Linked DNA regions of Caenorhabditis elegans. The protein of the gene in region 3 purifies or fractionates together with the protein of the main gene of each other region. This does not show direct contact. Each region holds a gene or a part of one and is shown on either strand. Other genes may lie near its edges.

The links. Proteins that work in one complex are often made in the same cells at the same time.
Region 1: the proteins of acdh-3 (region 3) and C34C12.8 fractionate together in Caenorhabditis elegans (co-fractionation; one large-scale study listed by BioGRID). This does not show direct contact.
Region 2: the proteins of acdh-3 (region 3) and ubc-7 fractionate together in Caenorhabditis elegans (co-fractionation; one large-scale study listed by BioGRID). This does not show direct contact.

What each region holds. Positions count from the first base shown.
Region 1 is NC_003281.10:3,457,305-3,463,170, forward strand, and holds C34C12.8 (GrpE protein homolog, mitochondrial), read left to right. Parts: upstream 1-3,101; 5' UTR 3,102-3,106; coding exon 3,107-3,156; intron 3,157-3,208; coding exon 3,209-3,312; intron 3,313-3,380; coding exon 3,381-3,622; intron 3,623-3,681; coding exon 3,682-3,897; intron 3,898-4,018; coding exon 4,019-4,120; 3' UTR 4,121-4,286; downstream 4,287-5,866. Other genes in the region: C34C12.2 (Fibronectin type-III domain-containing protein), read left to right, coding at 1-139, 692-1,705, 2,168-2,449, 2,517-2,741; pph-6 (Serine/threonine-protein phosphatase 6 catalytic subunit), read left to right, coding at 4,400-4,476, 4,998-5,087, 5,144-5,256. UniProt on the Caenorhabditis elegans protein: Essential component of the PAM complex, a complex required for the translocation of transit peptide-containing proteins from the inner membrane into the mitochondrial matrix in an ATP-dependent manner.
Region 2 is NC_003281.10:9,628,517-9,634,536, reverse strand, and holds ubc-7 (putative ubiquitin-conjugating enzyme E2 7), read left to right. Parts: upstream 1-3,369; 5' UTR 3,370-3,373; coding exon 3,374-3,413; intron 3,414-3,468; coding exon 3,469-3,571; intron 3,572-3,616; coding exon 3,617-3,714; intron 3,715-3,761; coding exon 3,762-3,940; intron 3,941-3,987; coding exon 3,988-4,062; 3' UTR 4,063-4,440; downstream 4,441-6,020. Other genes in the region: gei-13 (Gex-3-interacting protein 13), read left to right, coding at 228-403, 453-802, 859-952, 1,005-1,192, 1,555-1,681; rpac-19 (putative DNA-directed RNA polymerases I and III subunit RPAC2), read left to right, coding at 4,658-4,801, 4,848-4,951, 5,001-5,187; tbg-1 (Tubulin gamma chain), read left to right, coding at 5,383-5,486, 5,774-6,010. UniProt on the Caenorhabditis elegans protein: Catalyzes the covalent attachment of ubiquitin to other proteins.
Region 3 is NC_003279.8:6,462,652-6,468,930, reverse strand, and holds acdh-3 (Short/branched chain specific acyl-CoA dehydrogenase, mitochondrial), read left to right. Parts: upstream 1-3,221; 5' UTR 3,222-3,223; coding exon 3,224-3,475; intron 3,476-3,522; coding exon 3,523-4,063; intron 4,064-4,111; coding exon 4,112-4,257; intron 4,258-4,312; coding exon 4,313-4,633; 3' UTR 4,634-4,734; downstream 4,735-6,279. Other genes in the region: K06A5.2 (DUF389 domain membrane protein), read right to left, coding at 1-99, 142-339, 387-581, 627-749; K06A5.3 (Major sperm protein), read right to left, coding at 1,447-1,573, 1,625-1,728, 1,774-1,848, 1,898-1,954, 2,007-2,081; knl-2 (Kinetochore null protein 2), read right to left, coding at 4,835-4,990, 5,044-5,191, 5,240-5,862, 6,002-6,279.

The DNA of each region.
Region 1 (5,866 bases), on a different chromosome or scaffold from region 3:
TCAAAGAACAATTGTTAAAACACAAGCCCTTCCACGTGTCAATGCTCCAGTCCTATCATCAGTTCCTGCAAAAAATCCGCTTCCTCCAAAATTTGTTTATATAAATACAGCTGGATTGAAAAGAAAACGAGACGATGATGTGGGTGGAATTTTGGAACAATTACAGCAAAAAATGAGAAATTTTTTGGAATTTTTCTATTTTTGAGCTGAAAAAATTACAAATTTTCTAAAGGAATTTCCAGATTTTTTGCCATTTGTTGTTCTAAATTTTTAAAGATAATTTTGTTATTCAAGAAAATCCCGAAAATTATGAAAAAATTTTTAAACTTGTGAAAAATTATTAAAAACCGAAAAAAAGTTCTCAACAAATTCCGAAAAAGCAAACAAAAAATTGCGAAAAATTCTTAAAAACCGAGAATTTCAATTCCGGCAATTTGCCGATTTGCCAGAAATGTTCAATTCCGGCAAATTACCGATTTGCCGGGAATTACAATTCCTGATAATCTGACGATTTGCCCGAAATTTGCCGGTAAATTCTATCCCGGCAATTTGCCAATTTGCCGGAAATTTTAAACTCCGGCAATTTGCTGATTTGCCTGAAATTTTCAATTCCGGCAATTCGCCGATAATTCAAAATCATGAAAAAACTAAATTTTCCATAATTTTTTTTCAATTTTTCTCTAAATTTCAGAAAAACACGCCATCAACATCGAATTCAATCACTCTAAATCCATCTTCTCGTGGTGATCAAACCCAATTTATTGTACATCTACAACGAACAATTGAACGATTGGAAAAAGAAAAAGCTGCGTTAACGGAGAAATTGACAATGCGAGAGGATGAGATTAAAGTGTTTTCAGTGGAATTTGTGAATATTCAAAAAGAAAATGTTAAACTAATGAAGGAGAACAAAGCTAAAGAATCACAAATTTCAAACCAATCGATTCAAGTTCGAAATTCGTGGAAATTCGCAGATTTATTCAAGAAAGAGCTGCAGAAAAGTCGGAAAGACGTGTCGGAAGTGAAATGGAAAATTGATAAAATCGAAAAAAAAGTCGGCATCAAAAAGCCTACACCAAGGAAGAAGCCTGATGTAAAGCTGATAAATCCAGAGGATATTTCATTGATGTCTGACAGAACCCAGGATGGGGAAGATTCAAGTGACTTCGGAAGTCCTCTAGCGAAATATCTGAAGCCTGATCAGCCCAGCACAAGTTCTGCGTGCTATGGGAAGCCGTTCTATTTTGAAAGCACCAGCAGCAGCTCCAGAAAGCCCATCACAGCATCTCCAGGCCCTCCAGGCCGAACACAAATTTCGGATCAGCTGAACACTGGAGAAGTTAGATATGTGGTGAATTCAGGAAAACCATTCAATTTTAGCTCGGAAAGTAACTCCAGGAACTTGAAGCTTATTCCAGGATATATTAAGAGACCAGAATTTCGCTATATCAAGCCAGAAGGCTTCACCTCAGCCTCTTACAAAGCTCAGTCAGAAGGAATGAGCTCGTTTTTGAAGACTGGAAGCTCTGCAACTCCTGAAAATTCGAAGAAATCAGCCCATTTTGACATGCCGGATATTTCCTCAACGCCTTACAAATCTCACGTGGTGGTGGAATCGGACGAAATGAATAGTTCTTCGAGTACAATTGGAGGATTTGAGTCAGAAAAGAAAGATAATGGAGCTCTCGGAAGCCAGAAATCTCCTGTTAGTTATAACGAAAAAAATTGCTAAAAAATTTACTTAAAATTCCGCGAAATTTTGCCAATCTGTCAGTATCGATTTTTTCAATTTTTCAGGAAAAAAAAGTCAAATTTTAAGGTTTTTTCAATAAAAAACTTTTGAAAATGAAAAAATCCGCCAAGACGATTTGTTCGATGGGGCGCGCTTGCATTATTTTTTGTTTTTGTTTTTTTGTCCTAATTATTTCACTGAATTCCTTCATGTTTTGTGTATTTTTACTGAAAATTTGAAAAGCTAATGAACAATTTGCATTTATCTTGACTTTTCATTCAAATTTTCAGTGAAAATTCACAAAAAATGAAGAAGTTCAGAGAATTGATGAGAAAAAAAAAACAAAAATTAAAATAATGCAAGCGCGCTCTATTGAACAAAGTCTCTTGGCGGTAATTTGAATATGAAACTGGCAAAAATGGAAAATTATTGCAGATGCCCGACATTGCCACAGCACTTCACAATATATTTGATTCAAAAGAAGTTCAAAGTAGTTCTTCAACCACCGGAAGCTCTGCACCGCCCGAAAATTCGAAGAAATCAGATCATTTTGACATGCCGGATATCTCCTCAACTCTTTACAGATCTCGTGTTGAGCCAATCAGCAGCTCTTCCAGTGGATCTACCAGCACAAGTGCTCCGAGATATGTGCCAAAACCAATAGCCCAGCCAGCTCGATATGCAATTCCAAGTCCGGGTGCTTTGAATGCCTTAAGAGTGAGTGACAGCCGGAATCGCTCAGTTTACTGGAGCGCACTTGCAATAATACATACTTTTTTTTCAGCGTCCCCCAGAATGGAAAGGTCAGCGCCGACATGCGCCGAGTTACGTGAAATCCAGAGAAAGCGTCACGTTCAGAGGATGCTCCAGATTTCCAGTCACATCACCGCATTTCGCGAAAGCTCACCTGGAACCTGTGACTGATGGAAAAGATGATTCGAAAATTGTCAAATATCGATTTGTACCGAAGCGACCAGATTTTGATGGAGAACGCGAACATAAGAAGTGACAAATCTTGGTTTTTTTGTGTTTAAGGCTTTTAGAGCATTGATAATAAATTTTTTGTTGGATTTGCTGTGTTTTTTTGCGGAAATACACAGATTTTTGCAGAAAAAGTTAAGAAAAAACTGCTACAGTTTGCCCTTTTCCACTTTAAATTGCCGCTTAAAAACTCCTCGAAAAGAGTGTGCAAAGCATGGAGACGCAGACACGCACGAAAATCACGCCAGCACGTTACTGGCGCACTTGAGTCATGTGCTGGCGCATTTCTTGTCATGATGAAATTTATTAATTTTTTCTTCGTTTTTTACCAATTTCCGCCGATTTTTCGTTTTTTATTCCTAATTTCTTCAAATTTTGGCAATTTCAGACAATATGCTGCGCAAAGGAGTGTCTTTCGTCGGCCAGGCTGTTCAACAAACGCTGTAAGTTCCTTGAATTTTGAATAACGGTGAAAATCAAATTTTTTCATTGCAGGAAAACTCAGAAAAACTTGCGCATTCAAAGATTCAGCGCCACGGCATCACAATCATCGGAAGAAGTCAATTATGAGATTAGAAAAGACGGAAAGAGACTCAGAGGTAGCGATTTTTACTCTAAAACAAATTCTAAATTCTAAAAACTGATATAATATTTAAAAAAAAACCAGGAGCCGACTATGAAGAAATTGTTCTTACTTCGATTGCCGGCGAGGACAAGACACAGATTCCAAAGGGTGCTTTTGATGTTCTTCTCAAGGAATACGACGATTTGCAGGCCGAAAGCTTGGATTTTAAGGATAAATATCAAAGATCGCTTGCTGAAACTGAAAATGTTCGTCGGCGAGGTATCAAGCAAACCGACGATGCTAAGGTTTTTGCAATCCAATCATTCTGCAAAGATTTACTTGAGGTTCGATTTTTAAAATCAAAATCAACCGAAAAACAATTAAAATAATTCCAAATTTGCAGGTCTCCGATATTCTCGACATTGCCGTCAAGTCTGTGAAGCCAGAAGATCTGGAATCGGGAGGAAAAGCTCTGAAAGATCTTTTCGAAGGAGTTTCAATGACCCGTACTGTCATGGCAAAGACATTCGCAAAGCATGGCCTTGTGACCGTGGATCCAACCAATGAAAAGTTCGACCCCAATCTCCACGAAGCCGTTTTCCAGATTCCATCTGCTAATGTTAGTGCTAACCGCCCGAATTTTCCGAAATAAAAGAGCCAAATCTTGTATTTTTTGAACAATTTGGGCTTATTTAATCCTTTTTAAATGCCACAAAATGCTTAATTTCCTCCATTTTCAGGCCAAACAACCTGTCGGACATATCGAAGTGTGTACAAAGATCGGCTACAGCCTGAAAGAACGTCCAATTCGGCCTGCTCAAGTTGGAGTCGTCTCTAAATAATTTTCTTTTAATTTTCCTCTGGTTTTTTAATGTTTTTCCGGTTTTTTGTAGTTTTTTTTTGAATAGCTAGTAATTTTTATTGTTTTTCTGTTTTTTCCGTTATTTCATCACACTCCAATCACTTTTTCCCGCCGTTTTATAGGATTCGAATGAACAATTTTTGAGTTTCAATTCCCTTTTTTCCACTTTTTCGATAGGTTTTCAGCCATTTTTCATATATTTTTTAATTTTAAACAGGAAAAAAGCTTCTTTTTCATTTAAAACCGTAAAATTTTCAGAATGATCGACACAAACCTTCTTCGGGTGACAGTGTGCGATGAAGGAGAGCTCGAAAAGAGCACAACGCATTTTATTGGGTACCAAATTTTGGATATTTCAAGCGAAAAATGCGATTTTCCAAGCACAAATCGCTTTGTGTCGATTTACGCAGCTCGTGTACTCCTCGAGGAGAAGATTTTTATAGTTTTTGGAGAAAATGCTCAATTTTTGACCAATTTAACATTAAAATTGTCATTTTAATTATTTTAAATGAAAATCGACTACAAATCATCGTTTCCAGCAGTTTTCCATATTAAAAATGCTGAATTTCAGCATAAAAATTACCAAAAAAGCGAAAAATCGGCGATTTGAACGTTAAACTTTTAAAAAACAGCGAAAATGTAAAATCTAGCATTTTAGTCGAAAACTAGTATTTTTCTCCTCGGGGAGTACACGAGCTGCGTAAATCTACATTAGGCGATTTGAGCTTGGAAATTGATTTTTTTTACTCAAAATTGAAAAATTCTGCGAAAAATTTCGAATTTTTTTGCAAATTTCTAAAAAAAAACTTAAATTTCAGCTCCAAAATTATACAAAACTTAATTTTTTTCATTTCCAGATCTCGAAAAATAGAGCCGGAGCAATGGATTACGTGGGCGAGCGAATGCAAATACTTGCCCGAATCTGACGCTGTTGCTCTTTGTGCAACGTAAGAAAAAAGCAATTTTCAGCAATTTTCGGCTCAAAAACTGAACATTTTTTCAGATTAATCGATCGTCTATCACTGGAAGCCAATGTGGTGCCCGTTTCGTCGCCTGTCACAATTTGTGGAGATATTCATGGACAATTTTATGATTTACTCGAATTATTCAAAACTGGTACGGAATCGGATTCGAATTGGAAATGTCACAAAATTGGATGAAAAATTCAAAAAATCAGCCGAAAAATCGAGAAACTTTCCGGGAAAATCGGAAAATTAGCCAAAAAAAAATCGAGAAATTGGATAAAAAAATTCGTAAATTGAATGAAAAATTCAAAAGTTGAATGAAAAATTCGAAAATTTGCCGGAAAATCGAAAAAATCGATAATGTGTCGATTTACGCAGCTCGTGTACTCCTCGAGGAGGAGAATTTCACTGTTTTCGGGCCATTTTTCGCTTTTTTAACATTAAAATTGCCTTTTTCAGATGGAAAAGTATTTTACTACTGCTAAAAACGAAGAATTTTCATATTTTCAACAATAGAAACCTAGATTTTCGCCTAGAAATGGCGATTTAAGTGTTTTTTACAACAAGATCGCGAAAAAATAATTAAAAATCAAGCATTTTAGCCGGAAAATTGTGATACACTTCTCCTCGTGGAGAACACAGCTGCGTAAATCGACACAGGGCCGTGGAAGAGGCCATACGGTTTTTTTTCTGTTTTCAAACATGAAAAAAACTCGAAAAATTCATTTTTACAGCTAATTTTCGATTTTTCGACGGAAGAA
Region 2 (6,020 bases), on a different chromosome or scaffold from region 3:
AAAACGTCTCAAAACAGTAGACTAGAAAAGCATAAATTTACATATGACCTAGACTATTTTTGAAAGTCAAAATACGTTTTTGTTAACCTAAAACTATTAAAAACAATCATCGGAAAAACTTTACTACAAGTAAACATAAATATTAAAATTTTAATATATAGAAGTACTTTAACGTGTAGTCAAAGAAGGATCAGATCCAACAAATATTTTACAATTTTTGCTTTCAGCCGTTCCACAAGTGTCTCAAGATAACATCATAAATACCCTCAATTTCCCAGCTCACATCAAACAAGAAATTATGAATGCTCCACATGGTACTGATGCCAACGGAGTTCCACAACCAAAACGTCGTCGCCTTCGACGTCATCCAGTTTGGGTTTATTTCAAGGATCTTGAAGATAGAGTGAGTCTATCGCTGTGAAGTAATAGTTGCAATATTGTATGTTTTTCAGATGGTTGGATGTACAAACTGCGAGTTCAGAACTGGATCCGCTTTCTCTACAAACTTGAAAATGCACTTGAAGGCTCATCACAAGGATGATTATGAGAAAGTTCTTCAATTGGAAGAAGAAATGAGATTAGAAGAAGGATGTTTTGGACCTGGAAATAAATTTAAAACTGAACTTATCGATTATATCAGAGGTGGAGGTAATGTGACAACACCACCAACTCCAAACTCTTCAAGTTTCCCATCAACACCGAAAACACCTCAATTAGTACAACAAATTATTAGTCAATCATTCGCAAGATCTCAATCACCAAATGTTATTCAAAATGGAGAAATCAAGATTAAGAAAGAGTGGTTAGTTATTAATAATACAATTATTTGAAACAAAAGCTTAACTTCAATAATTTCAGTGAGGATGATATGTTCAGTGGTCTCTCATCCACTGACAAACTTGCTGCTCTTGTTGGAATTGCTGGACAAGAAGTGAAGAAGGAGGAAGCTATGGTTGGTATTTTTAATGTTCGAGCCCTATAGTTGAAAATTATGATCATTTCAGCCAGCAAACTTTGAAGAGTTCCGCCAACGCCTTCTTGCAAACAGCTCGCTCTCAAGTTTCCTAGGACAGTCTACTGCTCAGCCAATTGCTGTTGATCTAAACGGAAGTGTTATTGCTTCTGAAACTAAGTCACCGTGCTCTTCAAATGAAGATGATCGGAAGCAAGAAAGAGATAAAGCTTTGGCAAGGTAAGAGCAACTTTTTTTTTTGGTAATTTCTACTTGTGAAGGTGCAAAATTTTGCATGTTTTGCTCCAAAAGTGCAATAGCAAAAATGCAATTCCAAAAATTCAAATCAGTTATGAAATTGTTAAACACCACATCCATAGTTCCAAAATAACCAAATATCATAGTAAAACATCTTACAAAAGTTTTTGAAATATTTTATTGACGGCCAAAAAAAGGGGCAATTACTAGTTTTTTGCCACGTTTTGAGAAAACTGTCACATGTTCGAATCCGTACAATTTATTTGCAATATTTGTCAAGATATTAGTGCCATTTCCTATTTCAGAATATTCTTTTATCAGACTATAAATCAATTGTTTTTCAGACTCTGGGCAGACAACGAAACTCTTCTCACAAATACTCACTTCCGCGAGTTTGTACATTGCCTTGCTCCAGAATACGAGATCCCTGACGTTGATATTCTGGCAACTAGCCTTGTGGATCAATACTAAACAATTCTAGAAAATGATTCTCCTGTTTCTTTTTTCTCAATATTCTCCATTCCTACACCTATGTATGTGCATTTATTCGCGTTTTAGAGCTGAATTCGTTGTTCTTTTTTTCCATTTAGTAGATGCATTCTCGCATTCATGTTTTTGGGTCTTTTACGTCTTTCATCAAACTTTCTTCTCACATTGCCGCAATATTCTGATAGGATTCTGTCTCCATTCTGATACCTCATAGCCCCACACACACACCCCCACACCTGATTTGTACGTGGCCATTGCTTCCCCTTTTCTAACTTTTATGTCGGTGAACTTTTCCCCCTTTCTGAAAATATTCCACTTCTTTATTGTCATCTAAAAGATTGTCTGGAATTCAAAAACCCGTGTTTGTAAAAATGTGACTCCCGATTCGCGCCGATTCATAAGCCCCTCCCTCCCAAACAATCTTTCCACTTTTTTTGTCTCACTATTGAAATCATTCAAAGAATTCTTTCACTGCATGCACCGAGATCTATTAATAATTAGAAGGATGCTGTCATCCCTCTACTGGCACACATTCCCTCGAATCTAATCAAATCTTTCATTCATCATTCGTCGTTTTTTTTTTCGTTCTTTTTTGTCTGTTCTCAAACATATATATTTTTTGTGTGTCCTCGAATGTTCGCCCGAAAAAATGAACATTTTTCTATTGCTCAGGGGGTTTTTTTCAGTAGAGCCATCATTGTAATATGTAAAAAGTTTTTTTTTCGTAAATTCGAATTATCCTGTATCATCCGATCAATCGTTTTGCGTGGTGTGACAACAATATTTCAAATTTTTATTTTCGTTTTGAAGAAAATAAAATTTTAATTGAATAAACTTTTGAATCAATTGATTTTATCAATAAAATTACAGGGATATTACGAAGACGCGACAGTTTGGGATTTTTGTACCAAAAATACGGTACCTGATCTCCACATGATAAATTTTTGTTATCTGCGAAAAGATGTGCGCCTTTAAAAAGTACTGTATTTTTCAACTCTCGTTGCTACGGAACTTTCATTGATTTTTCATAATTCTTCGATGATGAACAAAAATCGTGAAAAAAACAACAAAAAAATTTCAAATCACAGTACTCATTGAAGCCCTTTTCACATTTAACAAAAATATTTATGTCGTGTCGAGACCGGGTACCGTACTTTTGAAACAAAAATCTCAAAATACCGCGTCTGGATAATATGGAAAACATTTATATTTTTTAATTTCTAAATATCGGTTATTTCAATTTTAAAGGCATATTTTTGCATTCCTAGGCTTGAAATATAAGTATTTAAACCCTATAAATTCGCGCTGCAACTTTTAAAATTTGAAAAAGCGCGCATTTCAAGATAGCGTGGCAAGACCCAACTTCTAAAATGCGTGCGCCTTTGACAATCACGTTTTCACTTTCTTGTTCAGTCGCTACTGGCACCTTCGTCGCCGCTATTTATCGAGAATTAGTTTCTCAAATTTATTTTTTTATTTTCAAAAGATTTTTAAATGGTTTAATCATGTGCAATCGATATTTTTTCCACGTAAAAAGAAGTATAATTACTCTCTTCTTAATTTTTTGAAATTTCGTAACCATCGATTTATTGGTGCGTGTTCCTGAAAAATACACCACGTTTTTGCTTAATTTCATTCAAATTAATCGATAATTCTATATTTATTTCTAGATAGATGGAGCAATCCTCCCTACTTCTGAAGAAACAGCTGGCAGGTGAGTTGGGATTAAACGTGATCTATGATCAAAACTAACTTTTTTCTGTTTCCAGACATGCGCAGAGTTCCAGTCGACGGATTCTCGGCAGGTCTCGTCGATGACAATGACATCTACAAATGGGAAGTCCTGGTGATCGGACCACCAGATACTCTCTAGTAAGTTGTTTGTTTGTGAAAATTGTAATTAGTTTTTTCTTGCAGCGAGGGAGGTTTCTTCAAGGCTATTCTCGACTTTCCAAGGGATTACCCACAAAAACCACCAAAGATGAAGTTCATTTCGGAAATTTGGCATCCAAACAGTTAGTATTTACTGAAACAAGTCGATTTTACACATAAAATATTTCAGTTGACAAGGAAGGTAACGTGTGCATCTCGATTCTTCACGATCCCGGAGATGATAAGTGGGGTTACGAACGTCCGGAAGAGCGTTGGCTGCCTGTGCATACTGTCGAGACGATCCTTCTTTCTGTCATCTCAATGCTCACGGATCCTAACTTTGAATCTCCTGCAAACGTTGATGCAGCGGTTCGTCTAAACAATGAAAAATAACCGAAATATTTTAATTTTTTCAGAAAATGCAACGTGAAAACTACGCCGAGTTCAAAAAGAAAGTTGCTCAATGTGTTCGCAGAAGTCAAGAAGAATGATTTGAACATTGCATCAACAGAGAAGAAGCATTAATTTAACTCGTCGTTCATATGAAACTATCCACTTTGATCTTCTTTTTCTTACTCATTCACCCCATTTTTTGACACCACGTGTTTCTAATTTCTTTCCTCATAAGCGTTGGACTCGTTACTTTTTATTCCCCTTAACATTTTTTTGAACGCAAAACCTGTGAATTTGCTTCGTAATTTTTTTTTGTCTAGTGGTGGTGCTCTTTTCCTTTTGTTAACATCCAAACTATAGTTACAACTATGCAACTCGTTTTTTTTCTGAGAGCGGTACCACATGTTTATTTGTTTGGTATGAATTCACAATCCTCGTGATGCTACTTCTTATCTTTTATGAGAAAATAAAATTTTTTTTTCACTAAATACAATCAATTTCATCTCTGATAAATATGTCATTCGTTCGAAATACATTAGACGGAAAATAACGAAAACCGTTCCGCGTGCCTCGCAATTGCAAAAACTGCGTGCGAGCGTTGCAAAAAGAGGCGGGGCTTCATTTGGAAAATATTTAAAAATTATTTTTTTAATTTGATCTGTTTCAGTTATTAAAAGTGATTTTCAGCTCGAAATGGGAAAGAAAAATGAAAAGATAGTAGAAGAAGCTGAAAAGGTAGAAGCAGAAACAATGGAAGTCGACGAACAACCACAGGAAACCCCACAAGTGGACGACGAAGAAGATTTGAACGTACCTTCAAAAAAGAAAATGGAAATTGTAAGTTTTCTACACTATTCCTCTAAAAAAATGTTCTGTTTTACAGCTGGACCCAAAAAGTTTCGAACAAGATCCATCTAATTTGACGCTTATCATGTACGAGGAAGATCACACTATTGGAAATTCAATCAAGCACATTTTGAGCAGAATGTATGTTTTACGAACGAATCGATCAGATGTAATTGTTGTTTAATTTCAGGGATGAAGTTGAATTTTGTGGTTACAACGTTCCACATCCTCTGGAAGACAAGATTTTGTTCAGAGTGCAGACAAAGGATGGTATTAATGCTCTGGAAGTTCTCGCGAAGGCATTCGAAAGTGTTGAACAAATTTTTTCCACGATTAGAGGGAAATTTGAAGAGTCTTATGAGCAAAGCCAATCGTAAAATTGCTATTCATTTTGTCATTATTTGTTATCCATTTTGTTGTTTTGATGTTTTTGTTTGACTTCACCCATTTCAATCTGAAATGAAAAATTTGTATTGGCAAAGATAATTATTTGTGATTCACGTTTTTATGTTTTATTCAAAATATGCCATATTTTTGTTTGCATCAAAGATTTTCTCAATCCAAATCTCCAGATGTCCGGTACGGGTGCCTTGATGACTGTCCACGTTGGACAGTGCGGAAATCAGCTTGCTCAAGCCTTCTGGAAATCGATGGTCGACGAACATGGAATCAATGAGTAGGGAATAAATTTGAGGCACCGACAATTTCAATTAGGCAAAATTCGATATACCACAGTCCGAAATGTGAAAACTATTGCAATTTTTATATTTCAATACTGAAATGCTGCAATTGTGAATTGTTCTCGTGAATCGACATGATTGAAAACAAAATATGAATTATTTTACTTTTGTTTGAGATGAAACAAACATTTTTGCTAAGTTAAATAATTTAAGACGCAATTTATTCAAGGTCATAATTCAGCCTCATAATTTTGATAAATATAACAATTTTTTTCGTTTTCAGACGTGGACAAACAACTCACGAAGACGATATGAATGATAAGAAAGATCTATTGTTCTACCAGGCTGATGACGATCATTATGTGCCAAGAGCAGTTCTAGTCGATCTAGAACCTCGTGTAATCAACGGAATGATGCAGTCTCCAAACTTTTCGAATCTTTTCAATACGGACAATATATTCATGTCCGATCACGGAGGTGGTGCTGGAAATAATTGGGCAAGTGGATATTGTCAAGGACAGTGAGTTGTA
Region 3 (6,279 bases):
AGCCGAAATCAAGACGTGTGACAATGCGGATCCAGTGAGAACTCCCTGTACAGTTGTTGCAATAACCAAAAGCCGGAATCCATTTAGAGGGCCGTAACCCTGAATATTATATTGTTTACAAAGTTATTCCGGATAGAGTACCGTGCTCAGCTGATAGTAGATAGCCAATGGTGCAACAAGTCCACTGAAAATAGCAGCTCCAACAGGAGGAATGAGAAAGGAGATGAATGGAGCAAGAATGTATCCACCGAGCAATGAGGACAACGAGAAGACAGTCAAGATTACGGAAGAGAGAACAAATGTTTCAATAATTGGCTTGGAAGAAATTTGTCTTGGTGACTAGAAAGCAGTATTTTAGATATTGATAATCATGAGACTGCACCTACCAAGTCAACCAAAGTGTTGACAATACGAACAAATGAATCCTCTTCAACTCCACTGTTAGATTTAGAAGATCTTTGTGAAACAGATGATCTTTTTGATCTATGATTAACAGTAGAGATTGAGCTCATTGCCTGCTCCGCGAGTCTACGTCCTCGTTCAGGAAGCTGCTCCAACTCACGCCCAAACTGTTGCATCGTCTGAAAGACAAACCCTACGAATGTTCATCATCAGTAGCAACATACAGCAATTGCAATGTCAATACCAGCTTCCGTGGCTAATGCAACGCATCCAGCATTTGCCAAGAGTGCTGGATCAGCTGCTGGTCCTTCTTGTTGTGGTGTTACAGCAGGATCGCTCATCGTCATTTTCAGTGTTTTTTCGTGAATCAACTGATCGAGTGTAGAGAATATCGAGTAATAAAGTTTGAAGGTATTGATTATCGATCAAACGATTTTACACGTATTTCAATTTTTCTGTGTTTTTATGTTCATCACGTTTAAAAGTGGAGTTCGGACAATGATTATTTTATTTTAATATCGCTAAAGAATAACTTTTTAAAATATCGTTAATTTCTCTGTTTGAATTTCCTCAAAATTAAGTTAAAATTAAGTTATACGCTTAGGCCGATGGGCTGCCAAATATTTACAGTGTGAATGGGTTACTGTAGAAACACTTGACGATCAAATTTCGTACGTTGCAGGATAAGTTTATAGTGTAGAATTAAAGCATTATAGTGAATTTATATTCAAATGACGACTTTCGTTTTCTCAAAAGACAGTTACATGGCTCCAAAGTGACCAGAAAAACTTTTGTGGCTAATTATTATTCAAACTTCCGCGCAAGTTTCCTAGGCCGCGCAATCGCGTACTCCTCTCGGACAACTAGATAATTATTTCTCTCAATTTTTCGCGTTTTTGCATGTTTTTTGCTTAATCCGAATCAGCACAATTCAAAGTTTCAGTTTTGCAAATATCAATCTAAACTCTTTTTCAGTTTTGGTTGTGTTCCAAAGTTAAAAAAAAAACAATTCTGTCGCTCAAGTTTATTTTTCAAAAGTAGTTATCAATCCTCGCTTTTAGTCTTCTCTTTCTCATATTTCTTTTCCTTTTTCTCACATTCACTTGATCTTTTGATTGGAACTGATATGCATTGCGTCGGTACAGCCTGCTTCTTTGCTCTCTCCCAGCATCTACAAATTAGCAGTTTAAATAAGATAGATCTAAATTCAGAATCGAAATACCGCCATGCAGACATTCGCTCATTGTGCCACTCTTTTCCAACTAAAGTGTAAATGACATAAAGTGAATCGCCGTCTACTGTGTCAACCAGTTTTTTGATAGTGGCCTGGAAACAAGATTTCATTTGAAACAAATGTTGACTGTTACAAACCGTTGTCTCGTTACCAGGTTTCAGTATATCCGAGCATTCTTCGATTCTAATCCTCTTGTTATTTGTGCATTTTACCTTCAATATTTTTTTTGAAAATAGTTGTAGTATCAGATGAATAACTTACCTTGAACAAAATAGCGCGATTCGAGTGATTTTTCAATGAAAGCTCTTTAGAGTTTATCTGCAAAAGTCTACATGTGCACTGATTGCTTATAGAATCTGGCAAAACGTACGTCGAATGGAATTGGCGACACTTCGAAAGCATGAAAATCGTTTGGAAATCCGGGAAATTCTTTTGAAGCTTCCATGTATACTTTGCGAAATCGAAAATGACTAGAGTGGGTATGACACCCGTGGTATTATTTATACGTGAGAAATTATTTGTTTTGCAGTCCTGAGAAAGGGTGTCAATTCCCGTGTCCCGTTTGTCCCGTTTGTCCCGTTGTCCCGTTTTTGGGGTGTTTTCACGGGAACGGGAATTCCCGTTGTCCCGTTTTTAAAATTTTCACGGGAACGGGAGTTCCCGCTGTCCCGTTTTTGTCATTTTTACGGGAACGGGACGTCTTTTGTCCCGTTTTTGAGCGTTTTCACGGGAACGGGATGTCCCGTTGTCCCGTTTTTTGGGTGTTTTCGCGGGAACGGGAATTCCCGTTGTCCCGTTTTTGTCATTTTCACGGGAACGGGAATTCCCGTTGTCCCGTTTTTGTAATTTTTACGGGACACTGACACCCTTGGTCCTGAGTCGCGACTTCGTCACAAGTGAAACCTTTTCAGCTACCGTATCCAAGAATACGGTAGCTCTTTATTGTTACAATTCACGATTTTCTCTCGACAATTGACACTTGTCTTAAATATCTACACTAATTCATAGTTTTTTAATCAAAGACTATCAGAAAATATTTGATATTACTTAATTGTTTGTTTTTAAAAAATCGGAATAAATTCAATCAAATTCAAAAAATCAGCTTTCAGTTTTTCCTCCTTCCTCTATTTGTTTTAAGAAAAATGATTTTCAGAATTATACGCATTTCTGGCAGATTTTGTGTACAATATCCTTTTGCTTTATTTTTCGCGCCAGTTGTCCATCCTATCCAAACGAGCGCCAGTGTCAGCGTCTGCGCCTCTTCAGTCCGCCCATCCTTCTCGTTTTCTTCCCTATCGCTCTCCGAGTTTTTTTTTCCTTTTTTCAATTTTTTGGCTCTATCGATACATCATTGTTCATTTTAACAGTGTGTATCTACCGAACATCATTTTTCACGAGTCAAGAGTGATCCAGTTGAGTATAAATATCAAAAGAAAAAAAGTGTAGTTTTGATTTTTCAATTTTTTGCGGAGAGTGTAGTTCTCTTTAGATGCATATATTTTAATGTTTTTTCATAAACTTCTTTGAACTAGTTTTCGATCACAGCTCTCCAAATTCGTTCGTTCTTTAATTTGAAGCTTTGCAGGAATGTCTTCCTTGTCTCGGTCTCTTCTCATCAGCCGTTCGGCGGCTCCGGTCGTCGCTACCATGTCTACGAAGCCTCGTGCTCACATCGACGGGCACGTACCATCACCACTGCAACAACTTTCCGAAGAGGAAAGCTCAATTGTTGGAACCGTTCGGCGTTTTGCTGTGAATGTTATCAAGCCGCTTGTTCGTGAAATGGACGATAAGTCTCAAATGCATCAATCTGTAATTACCGGAACTTTTGAAAATGGGGTATATAAAATTAATGGATTTAAACATCTACTAAACTCTATTTTCAGCTGATGGGAATCGAGATTCCAGAAAAGTATGGTGGACCAGGATCATCATTCTTCGACGCTGTTCTCGTCATTGAAGAGCTCGCAAAAGTTGATCCATCTGTTTCTGTATTCGTAGATGTGCAGAACACTTTGGTTGCCCCGTTGATTATTCAGTTGGGAACCGAGGAGCAAAAGCAAAAGTATCTTCCAAAAATTGTGACCGAAGCTATTGGATCATTTGCTCTTTCCGAGACCGGATCTGGATCTGATGCATTTGCATTGAAGACAACTGCAAAGAAAGATGGAGATGACTTTGTGATCTCTGGATCAAAGATGTGGATTACCAATGCTGGGCATGCTCAGTTCTTTTTAGTTTTCGCAAATGCTGATTCAGCCAAAGGATACAAGGGAATCACGTGTTTCCTGGTTGACAGAAATCAAGAAGGAGTATCTGTTGGAAAGAAGGAAGACAAGCTCGGAATCCGTGCATCTTCTACATGCTCCGTTCATTTTGACAACGTTCGGGTCCACAAGTCGTCAATTCTGGGAGAATATGGAAAAGGTGAAGCTTGTTTTTGAGAAATCAAAAATAACTTTCTAATTATTATAGGATACAAATATGCGATCGAGTGCCTGAATGCTGGACGTATCGGAATCGGAGCACAAATGTTAGGATTGGCTCAAGGCTGTTTCGATCAAACAATTCCATATCTTCAACAAAGAGAACAGTTCGGGCAGAGACTTATAGATTTCCAGGTATTATTTGTCAAAAGACTGAAATTAAAATATTGTAATTATCAAAAATTTTCAGGGAATGCAACACCAAATCGGACAAACACGAATGGAAATTGAAGCTGCTCGTCTTCTGGTCTACAACGCTGCTCGCATGAAGCAGAATGGACTTCCATTCGTTCGTGAAGCAGCCATGGCCAAATTGTTTGCATCACAAGTTGCCACTACAGCCACTTCGAAATGTGTGGAATGGCTTGGAGGAGTTGGATTCACCAAGGAATTCCCAGTTGAAAAATTCTACCGCGACTCAAAAATTGGAACAATTTACGAAGGAACGTCCAACATTCAGCTCAATACCATTGCCAAGCTCGTTGACATCGAATATCAACAAAAGGCTTAATTGATTATAATAATCATCTCCTACGGCGTTTTCAGTAGTGAACAATCGAACGTATTTATTTCTATTCGTTTATATTTTTCAGAATGAACAATTTGCAACTTAGTATCGAGTTAATATTTTACCAAACTAGTATAAAAAGGAAAAATTCATCATTTACAGTTATAAAGAATAAGTGCAGTAGAATAATTCCATGCACAGAGATTAGTAGATGGATGTGTCTTCTTCACGCATATCATCATCGTCATCATTGTCTTCATTTTCGTCGTCTTCGTGTATTGTTGTTCCACGATTAATAATTTTCAACGCCTTCTGAGTTCCCTTTTCTAACGAAATACTTGTATTCTTGTTACCACGATACTGCAAGATATTTAGTTGCTTGCATGAAATTTCCCAATCTTTTTTAAACCTACCGTAGAGTTGTTCATAGATGAGGACTTTTTCAGTCTGGAACTAGGTCTCGCTTGCATCATGGAAAGGTGCTGAACGTATTTGAAGTTCGTTTCAATATCCTTTGCCTTCGTTTGTTCTAGACGCGGTGAATTGAATGTGGAATTGTTTCTGAAAAATTAATGCTTTTTTAAAACTAATTATTTTGTATAAATTTACCCTCTGCTCATTGGAGAGTCTTCAACAGGTTTTGGCATAATTGAAGCTCTTGTTCCTCCTCTCTTCTTTGTAACTATTGGTGTTCTGAGAGCGAGCAATGATTGATCAGCAGCCACATCTTCTGGTTGATAGTCTTCCATTGACTCAACTCCACTTTGCAGATCTTCAGCTCTATGATTTCCACCTTCTCTCAGTTCCTCATGCATCTTTACATTTTCCTTCACTCTGGCCACAGCTCCACGTCTTCTTTTCTGTTCAACTTCTTCGACTTGTTTCAACACTTCTTCATTTTGCTCTGGTTCTACCCATTTGAGTCTTGTGATAGCAATCTGTCTGACTACTTCTGGTTCAACGACACCTTCCTTTGCCAAGAGGCGTAAAACTTCTGTCCAATCTGCATCACTTGCAGAAGGCTTCTTCAACGCAATCACACGTTTCAAACGATCCAGATCTTGTTTTCTCCATGTAATTTTCTTTGCAACTGGAGTTACACAAGAACGACGAGGACGATTACATGCTATACTATCATTGAGATCACGGTTATCTTCCAAAGATGCTCTCTTCTTTTTGCGAGCTTGGGCTGGTGACTTAGTTGAATTAGCCGGTTTTGAGCGCGTGGCCTGCTGAAAGCTATATGATATTTTCTTGCGACGAGGACGTAATACAGGAGGCATCTTGACTAATAGCAAATTAGAAAATGAATATTATTTGTCAGGTTTTTTTCACGGTCGTTTAACCAAATAAATAATTAAAACCACTCACCTTTTTCACAAATTTATCCTTTCTCGCATTGCTTCTCTTTGGTATTCCGTCTCCAAACATCATTGAATTATCCAGAAGCTCTTGGTTTTCTATGTCCCATTCATTTAAAGACTCTTCAGCATCGGACGAATTAGATCTATGACGATATGATGAAGATGACGCCTTTTGTGATTTTTGAAGACGATTCCGTAATTCTTTCTCACGACGTACAATCGCATTCAATTTTTCTTCGTCCTCGCCACTTCTGGAGTTTGCATGATTTCGCCGTCTGCCATAGT